Linked DNA regions of Drosophila melanogaster. Changing the gene in region 1 together with any one later gene gives a genetic interaction. Each region holds a gene or a part of one and is shown in the gene's direction. Other genes may lie near its edges.

The links. Genes that interact genetically often act in the same process or in processes that back each other up.
Region 2: of PolZ1 (region 1) and PolD3, changing one enhances a phenotype caused by changing the other (phenotypic enhancement), as found in Drosophila melanogaster (one study listed by BioGRID).

Annotation. Positions count from the first base shown.
Region 1 is NT_033778.4:7,791,788-7,799,663, forward strand, and holds the start of PolZ1 (DNA polymerase zeta subunit 1), read left to right. Parts: upstream 1-1,837; 5' UTR 1,838-1,908; coding exon 1,909-2,040; intron 2,041-2,098; coding exon 2,099-2,328; intron 2,329-2,385; coding exon 2,386-2,630; intron 2,631-2,687; coding exon 2,688-2,935; intron 2,936-2,993; coding exon 2,994-3,438; intron 3,439-3,507; coding exon 3,508-3,624; intron 3,625-3,686; coding exon 3,687-4,091; intron 4,092-4,148; coding exon 4,149-4,233; intron 4,234-4,298; coding exon 4,299-4,385; intron 4,386-4,443; coding exon 4,444-7,131; intron 7,132-7,196; coding exon 7,197-7,876. Other genes in the region: Gapdh1 (glyceraldehyde 3 phosphate dehydrogenase 1), read right to left, coding at 335-1,333. UniProt on the Drosophila melanogaster protein: As the catalytic subunit of the DNA polymerase zeta complex, plays a crucial role in translesion DNA synthesis (TLS) and various DNA repair mechanisms. Lacks an intrinsic 3'-5' exonuclease activity and thus has no proofreading function.
Region 2 is NT_033779.5:15,254,284-15,257,945, reverse strand, and holds PolD3 (DNA polymerase delta subunit 3), read left to right. Parts: upstream 1-1,641; 5' UTR 1,642-1,682; coding exon 1,683-2,978; 3' UTR 2,979-3,127; downstream 3,128-3,662. Other genes in the region: yuri gagarin, read left to right, coding at 1-147, 360-533; Uxt prefoldin-like subunit, read right to left, coding at 756-1,197, 1,249-1,295. UniProt on the Drosophila melanogaster protein: Accessory component of the DNA polymerase delta complex and possibly the DNA polymerase zeta complex. As a component of the delta complex, participates in high fidelity genome replication, including lagging strand synthesis, DNA recombination and repair.

The DNA of each region.
Region 1 (7,876 bases):
TGGGATGACTCTCCCAGGCGAAGCACAGATACTTATTTGTGTATTCACTGCATATCTCAGCAAGTCCGCCCGATATAACCTTCACACGCCCTTGGGCTTACACAAGCAACGTTCTTCATTCGATGCACAAGTTTTATTTTTCAAATAGCTGGCATTTAAATACAGTAACAGGGCGATACTTTATTCAACAACAATAAATATGTAGCTTTGCGTAATTATGGCTATTTTGTGCATTTGAAAAAAAAGCATCCTCAATTGCGCCCCTTGCGGATTATGCAACAGTGATTCCCGACCAGCTGCTGGGCGCCGGGTTTGTACGATAGTTTTGGCTAGTTTAGTCCTTGCTCTGCATATACTTGATCAGGTCGATGACGCGGTTGGAGTAACCGAACTCGTTGTCGTACCACGAGATTAGCTTGACGAACTTATCGTTCAGCGAAATGCCAGCCTTGGCGTCGAACACAGACGAATGGGTGTCGCTGAAGAAGTCGGTGGAGACCACCTCCTCATCGGTGTAGCCCAGGATTCCCTTCAGGGGTCCCTTGGAGGCCTCCTCGACCTTAGCCTTGATTTCGTCATAGGTGGCTCCCTTGCCCAAGCGGACGGTAAGATCCACAACGGAGACATTGGGCGTGGGCACGCGGAAAGCCATGCCGGTCAGCTTGCCGTTCAGGGCGGGGATGACCTTGCCCACAGCCTTGGCGGCTCCGGTGGCGGCCGGGATGATGTTCTGGGCGGCGCCACGTCCATCGCGCCACAGTTTGCCAGAGGGACCGTCGACGGTCTTCTGGGTGGCAGTGGTGGCGTGCACGGTGGTCATCAGACCCTCGACGATCTCGAAGTTGTCATTGATGACCTTGGCCAGGGGAGCCAGGCAGTTGGTGGTGCACGAGGCGTTGGAGACCACCTTCATGTCGGGGCTGTAGGCGTCCAGGTTAACGCCGCACACGAACATGGGCGCATCGGCGGATGGGGCCGAGATGATGACCTTCTTGGCGCCGCCCTTCAAGTGGGTGGACGCCTTGTCAATGGTGGTGAACACTCCGGTGGACTCCACCACATACTCGGCTCCAGCACTGGCCCAGTTGATGTTGGCCGGGTCGCGCTCGCTGAACACGGTGATCTTCTGGCCGTTCACCACCAGGAATCCGCCCTCAGCCGCAACGGTGCCCTTGAAACGACCGTGAGTCGAGTCGAATTTAAACAGGTAAACCATGTAGTTGACATCGATGAAGGGATCGTTGACGGCCACCACGGAGGCGCCCTTATCGATGGCGGCGCGGAGCACCAAGCGGCCGATGCGGCCAAATCCGTTAATTCCGATCTTCGACATGGCTGAGTTCCTGCTGTCTTTTCACTTTTACTCTCGTTCAGTTTCAGTTCGCTATTACGACTGCCGCTTTTTCCTTTTCCCGGAGCTTTTTTCGCAAATTAGGAGAATGGCGCTGCGATGGCGGGGGAGGGTTGATGAGTATTTCGCTAGCTTTCTGCGTAGGTCACACTTAAATAAAGCTAATGTGAAATAAATCGATTAGAATTCCATTTAAAACTTTAATTTTTACAAAGGGTTTGATTATATAAGCGCCTTAAAAAGAGCCTCTAACAACTAATGATATATATGGGTTGTAGGACCCTTTACGTAATTAAGTTTATACAAAAATTAGCATTGTCAAGTATAAAATTCCTTCATCTTGCACTAAAGTTTTTCTTAACATTGTTGCCAAGTTAGTTCTTTAAGTTCTAGAGCTCTTCTTTCAATTTAAAAATATTTATTTTACGTTTTTGCCCTTAGTTTGAATTCAAAAAGCAACAATCGATAGATCGATACTTTTCGATACATGGTCACTCTAGTTTGAATTGAATTGACAACAAATAGCTCTGCGAAAACGAATCTGAGTTTTGGCGAAAATGGCAGCCGCAGGAGAGGCAATCGATGGAGTCTACTCCGTCCGGCTGGTCATCGCGGATTTCTATATGGAGAAGCCGCAGTTCGGAATGGATCCGTGCTATTCGGAGCTGCGCGGCAAAGAAATCAAGCGGGTGAGCCGGTCTATTTCACCACAGTAAAAACTGGTATAACGATCCATTCCACTTCCAGGTGCCAGTGATTCGAGTGTTTGGCGGCAACTCCAGAGGCCAGAAGACCTGCATGCATGTACACGGAGTTTTCCCCTATCTATACATTCCGTATGACAAGAAGGATTTTGAGTCCCTGGAGCGGGGCATCCTGCAGATGGCCATGCACCTGGACAAGGCCATCAACATATCCTTGGGTCAAGGCAGCTCCAACGCCCAGCATGTGTTCAAAATTCAGCTGGTCAAGGGCATGTGAGTTCTTTCTGGACGACTTCTTGGCGTAAATCTCTAACCGACCTCTCTTTACAGACCCTTCTATGGCTACCATCGAGTGGAACACCAGTTCCTCAAGATCTACATGTTCAATCCCCGGTTCGTACGCCGCGCCGCCAACCTTCTCCAAAGCGGCGCCATTCTGAGCAAGAACTTCAGTCCGCACGAGTCGCATGTGCCCTACATTCTGCAGTTTATGATCGACTACAATCTGTACGGTATGAGCTATGTGCATGTCCCGCTGGAGGTTCTCAAGTTCCGGCGCAACCATGACGATGACGGCAAGCTGGATACATCATCTATTTAAGTTCCTAACTAACCCGTAACTAACCCTTTAGTAATCCCCTATGCAAATGTCAAGCAAGCGCAGCTTCTGGACATCACAACCGCTAAGAAAGTGGCCTGCAGTGCTTTAGAGGTGGATGTCAGCTCGAACTTCATACTGAATCGGTTCCAGCTGGTGGCGAAGAGTAAGAGCAACCACACTAACCCCGGCATCGAGGCCATCTGGAATGATGAGAAATTGCGCCGACAGAAACTTGTCGAGAAGCACACCGATGCTGGCGATGAGGAGAAGGCTGAAGCGGTAATCCGGGAATACATCTTGTATTGATAAATCCTACAGCCTTGTCCATCCATCGTAGGTGCCAGTATTGGAGTTACCGCCAACACAGGAGCGGCATCAAATTGAAATCGCCGAAAGCGATATCTTCTACCGCACCGCTCTGGAGAGCAAGCTGATGACACTGGAGCAGTCCACACTGTCCGAGCAAACGTTGTCGGATCAGACAATCCTTCCCCAAGCAACCATGCAGACCACCATGCCCGGCACAAAGGCACAGAAACGCAGGTTTAACTTGCAAAAACTTCTAGCCAACGCCGTTTATCCGGAGGAATGCTCACAGGATCAGCAGCAACTGCTGGTTAATGCTTCCTTCATACAAAACCATGTTACCTGCGGCTACAGCAGCAGTGTCAGTTTGTCAACCTCCAAGGATGAGTCCGATGACTTGGACGAAACTGTAGTGGATGAGGAACTAATACTGAGCCTCACACAGCCTCATGGAGCGATACCCCATGATGCCACCTGTGAGTACACGGTTGCCAAAATTACAACTCGCACTTTGGTATAAACCAGTTGTTTTCTCCTTGCTTCAGTGAGGGAGGAGGATTTGGAACTTTTGGACGCGTTGCAGCTGTTGGAGGAGCAGAATGAAAGTGAATCGCATGTGGACTTAGACAGTTCGTTGGCTCCATTGTCGCAACATAAAAAGTGTGAGTTGTTGTGAAATGGAGTTGTTTTTTAATAAATGTTTTACACTGATCTCTTTTTGTAGTCGAACTTACACCCGAATTGTTGGACAAGGAGACCGCAGCTACTGCTGCTCTTTTCGACGAAGATGTTGACTCCGACGAGGATGCCGACCAAGAAACCCGACATGACTTCTCTACCGTCCTAGACGATGTCGATGAGTTGTTGCTTAAGTTAACACAAAGTCAGCCTGCGGAATCGAAGGAACTGAAAGCATCTAGTAAACTGCCCCAAATTGATGGTGCTGATGATCGCCTACAAAGGACCCCCATTAAATCGATCAGCTCTAAGTCAAAGTCAAGTCCTTCAAAGACTCCAACAACGCCAATAGGTCAGAAAAGTCTTCCCAAATCGCCACGTACTCCGAAAACCAGTGCAGCCAAGAAATATGCGCCGCTGGCTTTGACAATTGGAAGCAGTTCATCAAAGAGTGGGTAGAATTGATAACGATCACACGAATTTTTTTTGCAATCATAACCAATTGCAGAAAGCAACGATGAATTCGCAGGGAGACCATCTAATCCACGCCTCAGTTTGCAGCTAGACCAAGGAACCGGAACGGGAACACTTCGGTAATCAAATTCTTTGTTTTCATCATATGTACCAACATTTCTATGACCAACATTTTTGTTCGTAGGCCAGAAATCTCATTGCGCAAAAAACTAGCCATGTCGGAGATGCGACGGAAAAGTTTCGAGGACAGTTTTGTGCTCTTAAAGAACGAGTATGGTTAACTGATATCCTTTATGGCAAGGCGATTTATATTATTGTTTTCCCGATAGTTGTACTCCAGTTAGGAGTACCAGACGATCAACTAGCAATCTGGACAAAACACACATTATTTGTTCCCTTACGCCGAGGGACAGAAATCCTGGCTTGAGCGACATGTTCGAAACAGAGGACGGCAAGCAATTACCACCAAAGAAAGTAGTAAGAAAGACGCGATGGAGCACTCGGAATCAAGATATAGAAAGTCTACCCAAGGCCGGTTGTGAGATAGAGAGACCCCACAGGTCAGAAGGAAGTGCCTTGGATGAGCTGAAGCCGCGTCGCAGTGCTCGCCATAAGGTTAATTCGGCAAATCCAGATGAGTGTTCCAGCGAAATACAAACAACTGGGCCACGAGTGACGACTACAAGTTTGGATAGACCTCAAAAGAAAGCCAGACTATCCCAAAGTCCCAAAGAAAATACTAAAACAAGCATGAATGGAACTGTTGCATTGGAAAAAGCAACAAAAGATAGTTCATCTAACTCAGAGAGTCCGCATCAGCAGGAAAACTCTGTTTCTGAACAAATCGAATATCTCGAAAGTAAACCAAAAAAGTCTGATGAAACTGCACGAAGCTGTGACGAAAAGTTACAACGTGAGCTAATTCCACAGGAACCAGCTGGTATTTCGCCTGGAGATTCAGCAAACTCCACGGAGGAGATCACATTTAGTCCATGCCATGATGAGGCTATCGAATCCGACACGGAAAGCGATTATATAGTCACCAAACTTCGTAAAACACCCAACTTGAAACGCCTTCGATGGAGCATTCGGTCGGAGTTGCTGAACAAACAATTTACTCCCAGTTCAGGCATAAGACCCCCTGAGACTGAGACCACTCCTCAGCTAAGTCCCAAAAGCAATGAGAGCAACACACCGGAGCTGATGCGAAGTTTCTATGAGCATTCGCTGATTGTGAACAGTCCGTCGGTCTTCAGTGACTTCTTGGATAGCCCCGAGATACATATGGATTCTCCTAGGTCTGCTCCTCCATCTCCCGATAGCAACTCGTTCGTGATTGCCCCCTTGGAGCTGCCTCCATCCTACGATGAAGTGGTTAGCGGTAGCCGTAAAATGGACATACCCGAGTACGAGTTCCAAAAGCCATACTACAGCAATCCCTCCGATGTGAGCAAGGTGACGGAGGTGGGCTTCCTGGTGCTCCACATTCCGGGGAACAAGCTAAATGACTGTGATCCCTTCCAGAGCATACTGGGCAATGATCGTGGCCTGGCCTCCTGGCGTCGTCGGCAACTGATAGCCATTGGTGGCCTGGCAATGTTGCAGCGACATCGGGGAGAACAAAAAGTACGGGAGTATTTCAGCACGCAACAAAGAATAGCAATCGAGCCAGCACAACTAGCACCCACCTGGCAGGAAGCCAAGATCTGGTTGAAAGCCAAGGAACTCCTTCGTCAACGAGAGGAACCAAAAAAGTCCTCTGATGACATAGACAGCCCCATCAAGATCAAGCGGCAGAAGATCACTATGATGCTGCAGGCTGAGGAAGGCGATGGCGGAAGTGGCGATGAAGATGCTGGTGAGGAACTCGATTGCAGTCTAAGTCTAACGCCCTTGTCCCAAGCTAAGGATAAATGCAAGGCAACCCCTACCAGTAGCAAAGCCAGAGAAACAGGAAAGAGTCGCCTTAAGCGCGGAACTAGGCTCAGCTTCATAGGAAGCCAGGACGAGGAACCACCAAGCTCGCAGTCCAGCGAACAGAGCGTCTCCAGTAGTGCGGCCCAGGCGGAGCTAGATCGTAGTTCCTTTCTGCGCCAGTTAGAGGGCAGTAGCCAGGATAGGCAGCACGACCTCAGCTTTGGACTTAGCCACGCTACCTTGGACAACACGTTCGGGTTCAAGGTTAATTTGGAGAATCTGCAGCAGGCCAAAGCCGACATTGATTGCAACCACCTGACAATCATAACGTTAGAGGTGTTTGTGTCCACGCGAGGTGATCTCCAACCAGATCCGATGCACGACGAGATTCGGTGTTTGTTTTATGCTATCGAACACAGTTTGCCGGATGAAAAGCTGCCTAGCAAAGCCTGCGGCTATATAATGGTGAACACTGTCCAGGATTTGCTAAGTGAAGGACCTTTTCATGGTATAGATCGCGATATTGAGGTGCAAGTAGTGACCAGTGAAGCGGAGGCATTTGAGGCGTTGCTGGCTTTGTGTGAACGGTGGGATGCGGACATATACGCAGGGTACGAAATCGAGATGTCCTCTTGGGGCTATGTGATTGATCGGGCCAAGCATCTGTGCTTCAACATCGCTCCTCTGCTGTCCCGAGTGCCCACACAGAAGGTCCGGGACTTTGTGGACGAGGATCGGGAGCAGTTCACCGATTTGGATGTGGAAATGAAGCTCTGCGGCCGCATTCTGCTGGACGTATGGCGCCTGATGCGCTCCGAGATTGCACTGACGTCGTACACCTTCGAAAACGTAATGTACCACATTTTGCATAAGAGATGTCCCTGGCACACTGCCAAATCCCTCACCGAATGGTTCGGCTCACCCTGCACCCGCTGGATAGTAATGGAATATTACTTGGAGCGTGTGCGTGGCACCTTAACTCTCCTGGATCAGCTGGACTTACTGGGACGGACTAGCGAAATGGCCAAGCTCATTGGCATTCAGTTCTACGAGGTGCTGTCGCGCGGCTCACAGTTTCGCGTGGAAAGCATGATGCTGAGGTGAGTGTAACCCTTGAGCGCAGGCAAAATATGTTGCATCCTCCCTGAACTCTCTGTCTTCATAGAATCGCCAAGCCAAAGAACCTGGTGCCACTTTCACCCAGCGTCCAGGCTCGCGCTCATATGAGAGCTCCCGAGTACTTGGCGCTAATAATGGAACCGCAGTCACGATTCTATGCCGATCCCCTAATCGTGCTTGATTTTCAGAGCTTGTACCCCAGCATGATCATCGCCTACAACTACTGCTTCTCCACGTGCTTGGGTAGAGTAGAGCACCTGGGTGGAAGTTCGCCCTTTGAATTTGGCGCGTCGCAGCTCCGAGTTTCGCGGCAGATGCTGCAGAAGTTGCTGGAGCACGATCTGGTTACTGTTTCGCCATGCGGCGTTGTGTTCGTGAAGCGTGAAGTGCGCGAGGGCATCCTGCCGCGCATGCTCACCGAGATCTTGGACACGCGCCAAATGGTCAAACAGTCGATGAAGCTCCATAAGGACAGCTCTGCACTTCAGCGGATCCTTCACTCACGGCAGCTGGGCCTTAAGCTGATGGCCAATGTTACCTATGGCTACACCGCCGCTAACTTCAGTGGCCGAATGCCTTCAGTGGAAGTGGGCGATTCTGTAGTTTCCAAAGGACGGGAGACCCTGGAGCGTGCTATCAAACTAGTGGAGAACAACGAGGAGTGGAAGGTGCGTGTCGTCTATGGCGACACGGACTCCATGTTCGTTCTTGTGCCGGGTCGAAATC
Region 2 (3,662 bases), on another chromosome or scaffold:
GACTATCGCAATCTATTCCGAGACTACAAGCTCTTGGAGACGGAGATAAAACGAGTGAAGCAGGCGGTCAACTGCGCGTCCAGTTCGGCGATAAGTTGTCCACCTCCGAAGAGTGGCGGTCTGACCAATCCCGAGGCGGGGAACGATGTGAGTTGGAAATATACAAATTTTTCACAAATCTTTATATGCCAAAATGCCACCAAACCATGTAAAACTTGAATTTTTCCTTAATTTTCAACAAGCCTGTTCCAAATTTTGACGAATTGGATAACCATTGGACTTCTTAAACGGGCAGCTGGAATTAAAATAATACTTTCTAACTTTATTGTCTAACTGGTGTCTATTGGTGACTTCCGCAGATGGCCAGGCGATTGCAGAACTTGACCAGCACCTCGCAGCGGATTTTTAACCAGAATCAGACTATGAACGATCAGTACTGCAACTCCTTGATCTCAGGAAGTCCGGCTGGAATTGGGCAACCGGTGGCCCAATCCATATTGCGGCGTACTCGATCGTCACAGGATCAGTCGTAGGAGTCGCCAGGATTTGCATGCAACTCCTCCTTCCATTTAAAAATCGTTCTCACCCAAAATCTCTATGCCATCAACACTTTGGAGGCGCGTAACTTGTAAATTGTCTTTGTAAATTGTGGTATAAAATAAAAACTAAGTGCTTGTGTAATCTTGGTAATAATGTGATCACTACTGATACGAACAAGGATACAGATGCTTTCAGCTTCTGTGGACGCAGCGAAGCTATTTGCTTTCATCCTGTTGAATAAGTTTGGTTCTTTCGCTGATTGCTATGAGGGCCATTTTGATTTGAGCCCTTTTCTTGACGCTTTCGTCGCGCAGGACATCGGATTGCTTGGTCAAGATCTTTACGCGTGTGTCGCAGAAGCGTTCCGCATCTGGAATGCTCATATCGAGGAACACATTCTTGCCCACATCGACCAGAATGCTATCCATTTTCCGAACGCGAGCCTGCATGAATACGTTGCTGCCGATGTTGACTTGCGTTTTGTAGCCATCTGGTAGGTGGGTGTCGAAGGTCTGGAGGGTGTTCTTCAGCTGGACGTACTCCATGATCTCCTCGTTGTACTGCCCGATGCACTTTTCCAGCTCTCTGAGATCCTCTTTCAGCACCTCGTTGATGAACTCCTCAATTTGGGTGATTCGCGCCTTGTTGGCATCCTGCCTGTAATTGGGTCTTACACTTGCTGCATTCACTTGTATTTTTATCACTTACTCGGCTTGTCTGTGAGCTTCTGTGTTGTGTTTTGGATTTACTTGCATTGTTTGGGCATTAAAAAGAAATCAAAATTTATTAGGATATCTGGTTTGTTTACTTCTCGTTTCTTCTTCTTATCTTTGCAATAGCGGCAAGTAGATGTTATCGATAGATAGCAGTTGTTTCAATTTAGCTATATTTAAGCTAAATGTAAAGTCTATTAATAAGCTCATAATTCAAGCAAAAAAAAGCAACTAAATATATATAATAATTAATTAATTAACTTTAATAAATACGCCTTTTTCTACATTGACAATATGCATAGCAAAGTCACAAATTTTCGAATTCAGTATTCATTATTTTGCTGGTGAGTTTTAGCACTTTTTTTAGTCACATAAGTTGGCACGCCCGCAATACGATTTCGCGCAATTTTAACTAAACAAATTGTCGAAATGTCGCTTAAAAAGGCTCTCGACGATTGCATGATCGATTTCGATCGCTGTGTGCTGGTCACCGATCTTCTGGAGGAGTACAAACTGTCCTACAAGGAGGTGAACGATGTGCTGGAGGCCTACATCAAAGAGCAGGAACCTGCCACAAAATTCGAGAAGAGATTTCTAGTCCATGGCAAGCGTAAAACGCAAGGATCCGATTCCGGCGAAGATCTGTACTCTGTGGTGCTGGAGAGCAGGATGCAGGATTGGCTGGCCAAAGTCCAGGATGCGGAGTCTCAGCTGTATAGTGTGAAAATAGCCGGTGGCACCAAAGCGCCGGCTGCGATTTTCAAGCCCATGCAGCATTTGGAGGTGAAGTTGGCAAAAGTGGAGCAGCGTCCTGGAGCGGGAAAGATAGTGCCCAGTGCAAATGGGACGACTCCCCACAATGGAGTCAAATCTGAACCCACTAAATCGGAGCCATCAAAGTCTGCGGTTAAGTTGGAGCCTTCAAAATCTTCACTTAAATCAGAGCCAGCAAAGTCGAAGGCGGAAAAGCCAGTGGCCAGCAAGTCCTCTCCGGAGGATAAGAAGACCTCGCCCAAGGAACAGGCCTCTAAAGCCAAGCCTGCAGCAGCCAAAAAGGGTAGCATTAATAGCTTCTTCACAGCGGCGGCCAGCAAGCCAAAGGATGTCAAAGCCACGCCCAGCAAATCGACGTCCGGCACCGTGGACAACTTCTTTAAGAAGCAACCGGCAGGCGCCAAGAAGTCGCCACCGGAATCCGAAGATAAATCGAAGAAAGATGCTTCCAATTCAAACAAAAAGGAAGCCTCGAAAAAGAAATCCCCCAGTCCCACCAAAAAGCCAACAACGGCAAACACTTCCATGCAACTGTTCGACGAGGAGAGTGCCGAATCGTCCGACGAGGAGGAAAAGCTGGACATGCTGCGGCGGAAGGTGATCGAGTCGGACAACGACTCCGATCAGGAAAAGGCCTCGTCCTCCAAGCGGCGACGAATCAGCGACTCTGAGGACGAGGAGCAGCCGCCCAAGAAGTCCGCCGATGAAGAGACCATCGCATTGGATGAGAAAATGGATACGGAACCGGCCAATGAAACCTATCTGGATGAAGATGGCTTCGTCATTACGCAGCGTAAACCAACAAAAGCCCAGCCTGCCAACAAAAAGGTTTCCCCAAAGGCTGCTGCTCCCGTCAACAAAAAGAAGTCACCGCCTTCAGCCGCGAAAGCTGGAAAGGATGCGCCGAAAACCAAACAAGCTGGCATTATGAACTTTTTTTCCAAGAAGTAAATGAAAGCAAAGCATGGAGATGTTGCTAAAGTAAGGGTTAATTGTTAAGCATGGAAACAGTTAATGTTTTTAATAAATTTATTTATGATTATTGAAAATAATATATATTTTATGATGGGTTTACAAAAAAATAGCCATCAGCCCATATGAAAAAAACAGTTTGCGTTTGTTGTTAAAAAGAATTTATTGCATTTGTTTATAGCTGCTAGAAGTTGTTTGAGTATCTTGTTTGTAATTTGTATTTCTTTATTTATATAGATTCGCGTGTCTGATTGTGTGTGTGTGTGTGTGTGTGTGGGCGTGTCGGTGTGAATTTTGCCTGGCCTATGCTTTATCAGTGCGTGTTTTTGTTTTTGGTTTTGTATTTGTTGTTTTCGATTTCGATTCGAGATCGAAACTCGTTATCTCCGCTATCGTTATCGTATTTCAAAACACTTTAAAAAATTAAGGCGAGGTTTGAAAAAACACTTGTTTGTTCATATAATTCGAATATTCGTTAATTTAAATTGTTCATTTGTTGTCTTGTTGGTTTTTCGTTTTTCATTTTTAATTTTTGGTTTTTGGTTTTTGGTTTTTGCTTTTCTGTTTCTGCAGTGATTGCGTTTGATTCCTATCTGATTTTTAAGCATTAAAAGCTTACAGTCAGGCTGCCCGATGGCAAGCAAATACATAATATGTATGTAA